Sus scrofa: one gene and its partners. The protein of the gene in region 2 interacts with the protein of the main gene of each other region in a biochemical or structural test. Links are inferred from orthologs where the notes say so. Each region holds a gene or a part of one and is shown on either strand. Other genes may lie near its edges.

Region 1 (3,746 bases), on a different chromosome or scaffold from region 2:
GACCTGGGCCTGGGGGCAAGGAAAACGGACACTCAGAAGATGCGAGGGTGGCCTCAAAGCTCCTTCTACCCCTTTTTACTCAGTTTCCATTGTATTAAGTTTATCCTGAGCAGCATGACAGACCTGGAGAAAAGGAAAGGGGAAGAAAACAACATTTTTTTTTTTTTTGTCTTTTTGCCTTTTCTAGGGCCACTCCCTCGGCATATGGAGGTTCCCAGGCTAGGGGTCCAATCAGAACTGTAGCCACCGTCCTACGCCAGAGCCACAGCAACACCAGATCCGAGCAGCGTCTGGGACCCACACCACAGCTCACGGCAATGCCGGATCCTTAACCCAGTGATCGAGGCCAGGGACTGAACCCACAACCTCATGGTTCCTAGTTGGATTCGTTAACCACTGAGCCATGACAGGAACTCCCCGAGAACAGCATTTTTTAAAGCACTTACTATGTGCTTCATTTTTGTTTGGGGTTACTTGTTTATGTTTCTTGTCTGATAGCACCTACATATCTAACACTTAATACTTCGGTATCTAGTACTCACATTTCCAGAAGGCTTTTCAGTTTATAATTGGCTTTCACACAGATTTTTTTTCCCTCTGCACGTGCGTGAGCACACACACACACACACACACACACACACACACAACACAGGTAAAGATAATTAGGTGGGTTTACAATGTCTTCATTTTCTTTTTTTTCTTTTTAAAAGTTTTTTGTCTTTTTTGTCTTTTGGGGGCTGCACCCACAGCATATGGAGGTTCCTAGGCTAGGGGTCAAATAGGAGCTGGAGCTGCCAGTCTACACCACAGCCACAGCAATGCAGGATCTGAGCCGCATCTGTGACCCACACCACAGCTCATGGCAATGCCAGATTTCTAACCCACTGAGCGAGGCCAGGGATTGAATCCATATCCTCATGGATTCTAGTCATTTTCATTTCCACTGAGCCATGACAGAAACTCCTGAGTTTTTTTCTTACCATCAAGGTAGTGATCCTCTGGTCACCTTGTAACTTCATTTGAACGATCGCCCTCTCCTTTTGCAGCAGGGCCTCCACCTGTGATTGAATCTGCCCCTGTGGGGAGAGAGTTATCTTGGCAATTCCTGGAGTTTTCTTGGCCTCATGACACCCTCTGATCTCCCTGGAGGGTGGGTGCATCCTTGTGTAATGATTTTTTTTTTTTTTTGCTTTTTAAGGCTGCATCTGCAGCATATGGAGGTTCCCAGGCTAGGGGTCGAATTGGAGCTGTAGCTGCCGGCCTACGTCACAGCCACAGTAACACGGGATCTGAACCACATCTGAACCTACACCACAGCTCACGCCAATGCCAGATCCTTAACCCACTGAGCAAGGCCAGATTGAACCTGCGTCCTCATGGATGCTAGTCAGATTCATTAACCACTGAGCCACAATGGGAACTCTATCCTTGTATAAAGATTAATAGAGCCACCTTTGCTGTTCAAACTGGGGGCTGGGGTGCAGTGTCGGAGCCTAAGTGATGCACTAGAAAGGAATGTGCTAGTAAATTATAACTAATATATTAATGACTAATATTTGGATGTGCTTTGGGATTACTGAAGCATTTCCACAAACCTCTCATTTGCCATACCAACAATTCCTTTTTTTTTTTTGGTCTTTTTGCCTTTTCTAGGGCGGCACCCGCGGCATATGGAGGTTCCCAGGCTGGGAGTCTAATTGGAGCTGTAGCTGCCAAGCCTACACCACAGCCACCCAACGCAGGATCCGAGCCGAGTCTGCAACCTACACCACAGCTCACGGCAACGCCAGAACCTTAACCCACTGAGCAAGGGCAGGGATCGAACCCGCAACCTCATGGTTCCTAGTCAGATTCGTTAACCACTGACCCATGGTGGGAACTCCCATACCAACAATTCTTTAAAAATACATTTTGTTTGTCCCATTTGAAAGGCGAAGCACAGAGAGGTAAAGGAATTCCTTGAAGGTCACAGAGTCAATTCAGGAGTCTGAATCTGGACCCACACCTTCTGTCTCAAAATCCCTGCATTCTTTCCATTCTCCATTACCCCTTGGCTTCAACAGGCATCAGCTCTTCACACACAGACATTTGAACCTACCGGACCTGACCGTGAAGTGTCTGCTCAAGTGCCAAGATGGCAGCAATGCGGTACAAACCAGAGGCAGGAGGTGACGGTTTCCAGGCCCTCACTGAACTCCTGGTCTGTGGTGGGGGAACAGGGAAGGGACCCCCAAATGCCTACCTGAAAACTCTGGGCAGCTTCTTCTAGCAAAATTGTGTTGTGGAATTTGTGGTCCTTGGATCCACAACACGCCACACAGAGGACCTTCCCATCGGACTCACAGAAGTAATGAAACCTCTCCCCGTGCTTCGGACACTTCAGCTCTTTCACTTCTGGCTGTTCCTCGGAGGGATCCATAGCTTGGATTTTCTCCACCAGATTCACCAACAGCCAGTTGGGCCTTATCGTGTCCCTCTTCACAATTTTGTTGCAGAGGGGACATTTAATAACGCTGTCCAATCCTTCCCTGCTCCGCATGATGCATTGGAGGCAGAAACTGTGCCCACAGTCGATGGTAGCAGGGTCCTGCAGGATATCCATGCAGATGGGGCAGATCACCTCCTCCTGAAGCTTGTTGGTAAACTGCTGACCAGCCATGATGGAGACGACGGCAGCGTCAAGTCTGCAGAGAGTCTAGGATCCTGCTGTGGACACTGGTTCTACAAAAGGAGGAAACAGAGGAGATGAAGGTCAAAGGGTCCATCAGAGAAGCAGGAAGGAGGAAAAGAAGTGCTAGAGAAAAAAAAGGAATAATAGAAAAGATTAAAAAAAAAAAAAAAGAATAATAGAAAAGATTAAAACCAGGAGTTCCCATCGTGGCTCAGCGGTTAGCGAACACAACTCATATCCATGATCGGGTTCTATCCCTGGCCTCACTCAGTGGGTTAAGGATCCAGCATTGCCATGAGTTGTGGCGTAGCTCACAGACATGGCTCGGAGCCTGCGTTGCTGTGGCTGTGGTGTAGGCTGGCAGCTGTAGCTCCGATTCGACCTCCGATTCGACCCCTAGCCTGGGAATTTATTTATGCCACGGGTGTGGCCCTAAAAAGCAAAAAATAAATAAATAAATAAACAGAAAAAAAAAAAGGCAAAAAGAAAAGAGTAAAACCAATGTAGGGACTATCATAAAGAAGAAAACCGATGGGCAATGCTACCTCACTACCTCTCGCGAACAAATGGATATTGTAAATGGATTTATCCTGCTTATAAAATGGGGCAAGTTGTCCTGAACCTTGGACTAATTAAAGATATGTTTATGAGGCCATTAACAGAGATCAGAAGGACCAGGGCACCAAAGTCCACTGGCAGTTGTTCAGGGAGGGAGTAGAGGGGCTGGAAGTCACCTCCCGAAAGGTCACAGCAGGTCACCAGTGATGCGTTGAACATCTCTTGTATGCAGAGCCCGAACCATGGAAAAACATGGAAAGGAAGGAAGAGGGTAATTCCCTGCCTCTTGTAGTTTGGCTCTACCCTTTTAAGAGTTTTGTGCAAATGTGGAAGATGTAATCACCCACTCAGGGGCTTTCCCATTATTTATAAGGAAAAGCAACCATTCCCCTCATGGGGCGGGGCTGGGGGGGGGATTCCTAGCACAGTGGGAGGAGCAAGGAACTTCCTCTCTGAAAGGGCTGTTCTCCATCCTGGCTGATCTTTTACTTCCCCATAGCACCTGTAGCAAATCTGT
Region 2 (3,746 bases):
GTTTCCAAGTGGACTCATAGGGTTTATATGTTTAATTTAAGGACTTCCAAGCATTTCATATGTTTAACTCATATGTTTAACTTAAGGACTGCCAAGCATTTCCCCAAATCTTTTAATCTCTCTCTCTCTCTTTTTTTTTTTTTGACTGCGCCTGCAGCATATGGAAGTTTCAAGGTCAGGGATCAAATACTACCTGCAGCTCGGACCTATGCCACAGCTGCTCACAAGGCTGGATCCTTAACCCACCACACCCACAACCCCCACCACAGCAAAGACACCTCTGGATCCTTAACCGGCTAAGCCACAGCCAGAACTCCTAATCTCTCTTTAAAACAGGAAAAAAAAGTAGTTCCCATCATGGCGCAGTGGTTAGCGAATCCGACTAGGAACCATGAGGTCGCGGGTTTGATCCCTGGCCTTGCTCAGTGGGTTAAGGATCTGGCGTTACCGTGAGCTGTGGTGTAGGTCGCAGACGTGGCTCAGATCCCGCGTTGCTGTGGCTCTGGTGTAGGCCAGCGGCTACAGCTCCGATTGGACCCCTAGACTGGGAAATCCATATGTCACGTGAGCGGCCCAAGAAATGGCAAAAAGACCAAAAAAAAAAAAAAACCAACCAACCAAACAAACAAAAAACAAAAACAGGAAAAAAAATAAACCTCTACTTTTTTTGGGAGAATATTTAATGGGCCCTAAGACTTTAAGTCTGTACCTGAAACAGTGGGCATTCAATAACTGCTGGCCTTTGCTGCCTCGGCAGAGCAGGCGGTTGGGGAAAACTGCGGTGAGGTACCAACCAGAATTCTTGAAAGGAGAGGGCGTTTCCACGCAGCACTCAGAGCCCACCCCCAGCGTGCCCAACCTTGTGAGACAAACTAGGCGCCCTGGCCCTTTCATACACCTATCCCCCCACCCCCGCACTCCAGATCGATCTTGCCTCCTCAGGCCCAGAACGTGTCGCCTGGCTGGGCACTTTTCATGACATCCGACGTTTATTGAGCACTGACTATGTGATAGGCCCTGGGTGAACGACCAAAAGACCCTCACCCCTCAAATTACTCAGCGTGAGGAATGGTAGCTTCGTGTGGGAAGCGTCGTGGACCAAGGCCGCCACAGTTTCGACTTGGTTTCTAACCAGACCCTGGACTTCCCCCTGGAAGTTGCTCGAGACAAACAAGAAAAGAAGGTCATCTGGTCATCTGCTCCTTTGCACTCCAAAAAGTACGAACCCAGGTCAGTCCCGAGCGCCCGTCCGGCGAGTCCAGGCCCCCAAACCACCACCGAGTACCCGCCCCCCGCCGCCCAGTGGCTCCCACTGGAGCCGAAACCCCGCCCCCGCCGTCTGGCCAATGGCCGTGCAGCTCCGGCCCCCACTCTCCTGTCCTGCTGGGGAGGGTTCCGGGCTATAGGCTACAGGAGGCAGGTTGCCTGGCCGTGGCTACCCCGAGGTAAGATCGCCGGCCCTGGAGCTCGGTCCTCTGGGCTCTGGGGCACGGACGCCTTTCGGGGAGGTAGCCCGCAGGGAGGGAGCTGAGTGGGAGTCGGAGTCCTTCGGGCCGCATGAGGCTTGGGGCGCCCGGCGGCCGAGAAGAGCGGATTCTTAGGCTCGTGGGGTTCGGGGCAGCGAGGGCTCCGCGCGCCGCAACCATCACTGAGGGCTTGGGAGGTGCGTGGCACCGGCGTCTGCTTGGATTGGAGACGAGGTTGGGCCGGAAGGAGACAGGCGCTGACTCCTGAGCCCCTTCCAGTCGCCCTCAGGTCCAGGGTGATCCCCAGGCGAGGCCTAGCCCGGGTGCGCTAATGTCTGGAGGCCGCGGCCGCGCTTGAGGGGTCGAGGACTGCCGCCGTCCCCTGGGTCCTGACTGTTCTCGGCGCTGACATCTGCTCAGAACAGCCCACCCGCCCTCTGAAGTCCTGGGTCTGGCCCAGGAATTATGGAATCCGAGCTGAGGCTGTGAGGCCGCGCCCCTTCCGGGAGGGTGGAATTTTCTTTCTGGAACGGACACACAGCCTCTGGTGCAGTCGGGGTAGAAACTCTCCTAGCCGCATCCATCAGGAGCACTCCGCCGCGCATCTTATCCGAGACCAGGAGGTGTCAGGAAAACAATGGAAAAAAATCAACATTCTTCGTTTGAAGGCTCAAAAACACCTGAAAGGACTTCTGAAAGGACCTGAGAACCCGGCTGCTGTAGTGGGCAGAGTTAGAAGGGCCTCAGATCTGTCCAAAAGATTCCATTCCCCACAAGAGCAGGGACCAAATTCTGCATTTTTCCCAGGCCACTTTCAGTCAGTCCTACACCTCCCCCACCCCCATCCCCAGCCAGGCAGTGACCTTGGGGTTTGAAGGCCTGGAGTCAAGTGAGTCTCGCTTGCTGCAGGGGTTTCTTTGCCCTGCACCGTGTATGATGAGTTTCAATTAGGCAACAAGTCCTGGGTTCAAATCCTGTTAGGCCACTGGTCAGCTGTGCAACGTGGCTTCATTTCTTAAGGGATTGTGGCAAGGATTAAATGAAAGAAATTTAGTATGTGCCTGCCAGTAGTGGACCCTTAATAAATGTGAACAGATATGGGGTTCCTTTCTTTTTGGTTGAACCAATTCATACCCCGATACCCCCAGACTCTGTGCCTCAGGGGCTGAGACTGGGATGCAGAAGAATGTTTCACCTGCCTCTCTCCTGATACCTCTCTGTATCCCACAGGAGGGAAGGGGAAATGGGTATATTTGCCCCCACAGTGTTCTTTGCTCATTTCCTAAAGGCTCAGGGGACCCCTGCCCCACCTCCCTGATCCTCTTGACCTCTGTCTTTTGTACTTGCCTCACGAGGGAAGTTGCACCTGGTGTTGGCAAAGCAAGTTGCGCAGTGTGTGGCTATGAGGCCGGTGGCAGCAGGTAGGCAGGACTGCTGCCCCATTTCACATGTGGTGGGGGACTGGCAGCCTCAGCAGCTTTACATTACTCTCTGCTCTGCAGCACTGTCTCCTAGAGCTCCCACCCAAGCTTGACACCCATGTTTCTACTCTAGCCTGCCCCCTCTACTCTGCCCCCTTCCCTCCCGGAAAAGCCCCTTGGATATCCAATAGCATCTCCAACTTCACTTGTTCAGATGGAGCCCTGGAGCCCCATCTGCACCACTGCTTCTCCCGCAGATTCTCTGGCTTGCTAAGTGGCACCCTCCATCCACCCAGTGCCGAAGGTGTCATTCCAGATCCTTCTCTCTCCTTCATCTCCTGTATCCACAAAATACCAGGAATCCGGCCACCCCTCACCATCTTCATGGTTACCATCCTGGTGTACCCCTCATGGGGTCCCTGCTGTGGCCTCCTGACATATCTCCCTGCTTCCATCCTGCCCCCTCCACAGTACAGGGTCCTTACAATCACTGCAGAGGTATATATATATATTTTTTTAAATTTTTTCTTCTCTTTAGGGCCTCACTCGCGGCATACGGGGATTCCCAGGCTAGGGGTCCCATCGGAGCTACAGCTGCTGGCCTACACCAGAGCCACAGCAACACAGGATCTGAGCCACGTCTGTGAACTACACCACAGCTCATGGCAACACCAGATCCGTAACCCACTGAGTGAGGCCAGGGATCAAACCTGCATCCTCATGGATGCTAGTTGGGGTTGTTAACTGCTGAGCCATGATGGGAACTCCACCACAGAGATCTTTAACATAAATCAAGTCTTCTCCTTTTCCTGCTCAAAACCCTCCAATGGCTCCCCATTTCACTCCAAATAAAACTCAA
Region 3 (3,718 bases), about 6.1 Mb from region 2:
AGGCCATGCTTGTGCTCAAGTAGGCCTGGCTGGGCACAGGGCTGCACGGACCTCAGGGGGCGAAAGGCCCAGAAGCTGGGCCAAGCCCTCTAGCCAGCGTTGCCAGCAGGCAAGCCCTGGGGCAGATGAGGTTTGAGTCCAGGGTCATGAATATCTGGCACCAGTGAGGAGCCAAGGCTGGCAGCAAGGCCTGTGGGGCGGAGCCAGGAGTCTCCACCTGGCCCCCACTGTGTGGCTCTGCACACCAGGAGCCCCTCCCAAGCAGGAAAGGGGAAGAAGCAGGTGAGCAGGGTTTGTTAGGCTGTGGCTACTTAATAAATGTTTCTTTTGTTATGAAAACGTCTACCTGGAACCATGCTGCCCTCGTGGAAGAGGTGGGCTTGGCCTCTAGTACCCCCACGATGCACTATACACAGGCGTGGGTTTCCTGAATGAGCCCTGAGTCCACAGCACACAAGTCTGTGCACCAGTGAGAGGACAACGGTGGGGGCAGCCCCACCCACAGCCCTCCCCACTCCCCAAGCAGCTGGAGGCAAAGGGCCAGGCAGGCCTGAGCAATCTTTATTCTGCAAAGGGACAATGACCACAGAGCCATACACCATGTCAAGACCAGGTGAGCCAGGACCCAGTCCTTCAGGGGTGGGCAGATCCAGGCATGGGCAGCGCCTCAGGTTGGGGAGGGACAGGTGGGCAGACAGGCAGGGGTCTAAAAAAAAGACAAACCACACAGGGCAGGGGTGCTGGGGGCTGCTTCCCACTCTTCCCCCTCCCAGCCAGCACCCGGAGGGGCAACCCTAATATGACTGGGCCAGAATCCATCCAGGGGCAGAGTAGGGGTGATAGGTGCCCTCTGGCTGGGTGGCAGCATCCCTGTCCAACCCACCAGGGGCAGGGGCAGAGACAGCTTAGTTCCAGTGCCAGGAGCTCCCTGGGCAGAGCCTGACAGGGCCCCCGACTCCCAGCCAACACCCCCTACTGCTGGCTCAGAAGCCGAAGGTTTCCTGGGAGGCGTAGACCATGTAGAGGAAGCCATCCTCATCCTTCTCCTGCTCATAGATGTCCGCGATGGGCGTGGACACGCTCACCATGCTGTGCTGGTTCACCAGCAGGAAGAAGGCCTGCGTGGGGTTCAGCTGCAGGCGGCGCCTGAGGTGGGCGGGAGGGCAAGCCAAACGTGAGGGGCCTGGCCGCTGGGTGAGTGTAGCCCTCACCCCCTACCCACCCTGACTTTGATTCTCCCCCTCACACCCATCCCAGCCCCTTCTAGAAGCTCTCACCTCTGACAAGATACTGATCCCAGGCCTGACCTTGACCGTTCCCAACCTCCCCAGAAGAGGGCTTCGGCACCCCGTCCCATGTCCCACCCCCACCCCTTCCTTCTCAGAAGGACCCAGACCAATGCCTGATCCCAGCAGGACCCAAGTCCCCCTCCTGACAGCTGCTGCCAGCGCACCGGATGATCTTGACCAACTCGCTCATGTTGACATGGTCTGGGACCAGGAACTTGGTCTTGTCCAGGACTGGCAGCTGCTTCTCACCCTTGTAGCGCTCGATGATCACCTGGGAGTGAGGTGGGGCGGGGACGCGTGAGCGGGAGGCTGGACCTGGGGCCAGGGGACGGGGGCGGGGTATGCGGTAGGACTCACCGGGATCTTGCTAGGGTGCTGGTCGCGGATCTGCTGCACCTCCTTACGGCGGTCGGCTGCAGACAGCAGTCGGGGATGAGGCCAGCCGAGGTTCTCCTTGGGTTCCGCCCCACTAGTCCCCGAGGGGCGGCCCCCGACCCCGCCCCGCCCCCCGCCAAGCCCCAGGCGGGTGGAGGTAGGGCCAGGGCCGGGGCACAGCACTGGGATGGGAGGCGGAGGCCCGGGCCCAGGCCCTAGCCTGCTTCCCAGCCCAGGGGTCCAACCCGAGCTTGACGTCATGAAGCTGACGTCACCTGCGGCAGACAAGTAGATCTGCCAACACCCCCGACCCCCCCACGCCCCCACCCCTAGCGCTCGCAGATCGCCAGTCGGGCCTCACCGAAGCTCCGCCGCTGCTTGAAAGGCCGGTCTGAGGGCATCGCACAGGCCCGGCGGAGCGCGCAGGCCGGGGCTCCCGGTCGCGCGAGGCGGGGAGGTGGCTGTGGTTTGGGGGCTCCGGGGGCTCCGCGTCTCCCGCTCAAGGGCTCTGGGGCTCGCGCTGAGCCCAGCGGCGGCGGCTCGGGGAGGTAACTCGCCCGGGTGACGTCAGGTCATAACATTCCTTAAAGGGGAGGCCAGCGCGCCGTTCCCATTGGGCCGACGCAAAATCTGCCCGCCCGGGCCCGTGACATCACGGCGCAGGGAGCCTGCATTCCCGCCCCCACCCCCAACCCCACACTGCGAAGGAGGGGAGGCGCCCAGTGAGCGTCACAGTCCTGTGACGTCACGGCCTGTGCAGGGGCAGGCGAGGTGGGCTCCCCCAGGCCCAGGGTGAGGGGAGAATGGACGCCAGCAAGGCCAGGGAGCAGGCTGGCTGGTCTGGCGGTGGGGAGAGCTGGCCAGGCTGCGGCATAGCATCCTTCTGTTTCCACTGTAACCAAGGCGTCAGACAGCCCTCGCTCAGAGTCTTTTCTGTTCCAGGGACCGTATGAGGCATTGGGGATGACAACAGTGAACCAGAAGTCTTCATCCTGGAGCATATGGTTAGAGAAAGAAAAAGGTAGTGGTCATTGTGGGGGGTTGGGTGAGCATTAAAACATGAAGACAGCAAGACACTGAAAAGGAACCTAGAGGTTTTAGAAGGAATTTCTAGAATTGAAAAACAGCTACTGAAATTCAGGTCTCAGAAGGACGAGGCAAGCAAGCCCTGTTAGATATAGCAAAAAAGAAAATCACTGAAGTGGATGAGAGAGCAGAAGCAATTACCTGGAAAACAAACCATGTTTACATGGTATAAAATAAGTGACAGAAATGGCAAAGTGAGAATTCACAGGTCTAATTAGCATTCCAGAAGGAGAGAAAAGACCGTGAAGCTCTGGAGAAAAACTTCCAAAATTGATTAAAAACCAGGATCCTCATATAACATCCAGAACAGAATAAATAAAAACTCATCTAGACACTCTGTAGTGAATTTGCCCAACTCTAAGGAGAAGAAATTAGAAAAATGGTAAGCTACTAAGCTGGTAAAATGGGAAGTGGATCTAAACAAACACCTGCTGTGGAACAAGAATGGTGCTGATGAGTCTGGAGCATAGCACAGGAGCATGGCACATGTAGGACTGGGGAGGGGGGTCAGAGGTCAAGTGTTTTAAGAAGCTTGATTTATTGGAGAGGAAGAGGATAAAGCTAACTGATAATTACCTGGCTTTGTATAGTCAAGTATGTATTTCAAACACTTCAGAGGGATCACTCAAAGAATAGAAAGTATATGTCAATGCATAAAAGAGAAAAGTTTAGTAAAGGGTATTAAAAAAATGTAATAGATAGAAAAAGAGAAAAGGGAAAGCAAAGTGAAAAGAATGGTATATAAATGGTACAAAACCAGAGGTATTAAATGTTTTACATTCACCTGTTAAAACAGATGAACAAATTGGCCAAGAAAAATAAAATGCAGCTCTGCTGTTTACAAGAGGACATTTAAAACCTAAGGAAATCAAAAGTAAAAAGATGGGAAAAAGTATATGAGAGAAAAACTAACCAAAAGATATATTCATAGCATAGTCACAAAAAATAGGCTTTAAGGCTAGGGACAC

What was found.
Region 1: of the proteins of MAVS (region 2) and TRIM31, one has a biochemical effect on the other in vitro, tested with the Homo sapiens proteins (2 studies listed by BioGRID). The link is inferred for Sus scrofa from reciprocal best matches to the Homo sapiens genes MAVS and TRIM31.
Region 3: the proteins of MAVS (region 2) and MAP1LC3A form a complex in vitro, tested with the Homo sapiens proteins (2 studies listed by BioGRID and IntAct, with this or other methods). The link is inferred for Sus scrofa from reciprocal best matches to the Homo sapiens genes MAVS and MAP1LC3A.

What each region holds. Positions count from the first base shown.
Region 1 is NC_010449.5:22,678,375-22,682,120, forward strand, and holds the start of TRIM31 (E3 ubiquitin-protein ligase TRIM31), read right to left. Parts: upstream 2,858-3,746; 5' UTR 2,660-2,857; coding exon 2,243-2,659; intron 1,077-2,242; coding exon 981-1,076; intron 10-980; coding exon 1-9.
Region 2 is NC_010459.5:31,866,851-31,870,596, reverse strand, and holds the start of MAVS (mitochondrial antiviral-signaling protein), read left to right. Parts: upstream 1-1,323; 5' UTR 1,324-1,445; intron 1,446-3,746.
Region 3 is NC_010459.5:37,956,329-37,960,046, reverse strand, and holds MAP1LC3A (microtubule-associated proteins 1A/1B light chain 3A), read right to left. Parts: upstream 2,218-3,718; 5' UTR 2,066-2,217; coding exon 2,026-2,065; intron 1,703-2,025; coding exon 1,647-1,702; intron 1,561-1,646; coding exon 1,454-1,560; intron 1,147-1,453; coding exon 984-1,146; 3' UTR 542-983; downstream 1-541. Other genes in the region: PIGU (phosphatidylinositol glycan anchor biosynthesis class U protein precursor), read left to right, coding at 1-23. UniProt on the Homo sapiens protein: Ubiquitin-like modifier involved in formation of autophagosomal vacuoles (autophagosomes). While LC3s are involved in elongation of the phagophore membrane, the GABARAP/GATE-16 subfamily is essential for a later stage in autophagosome maturation.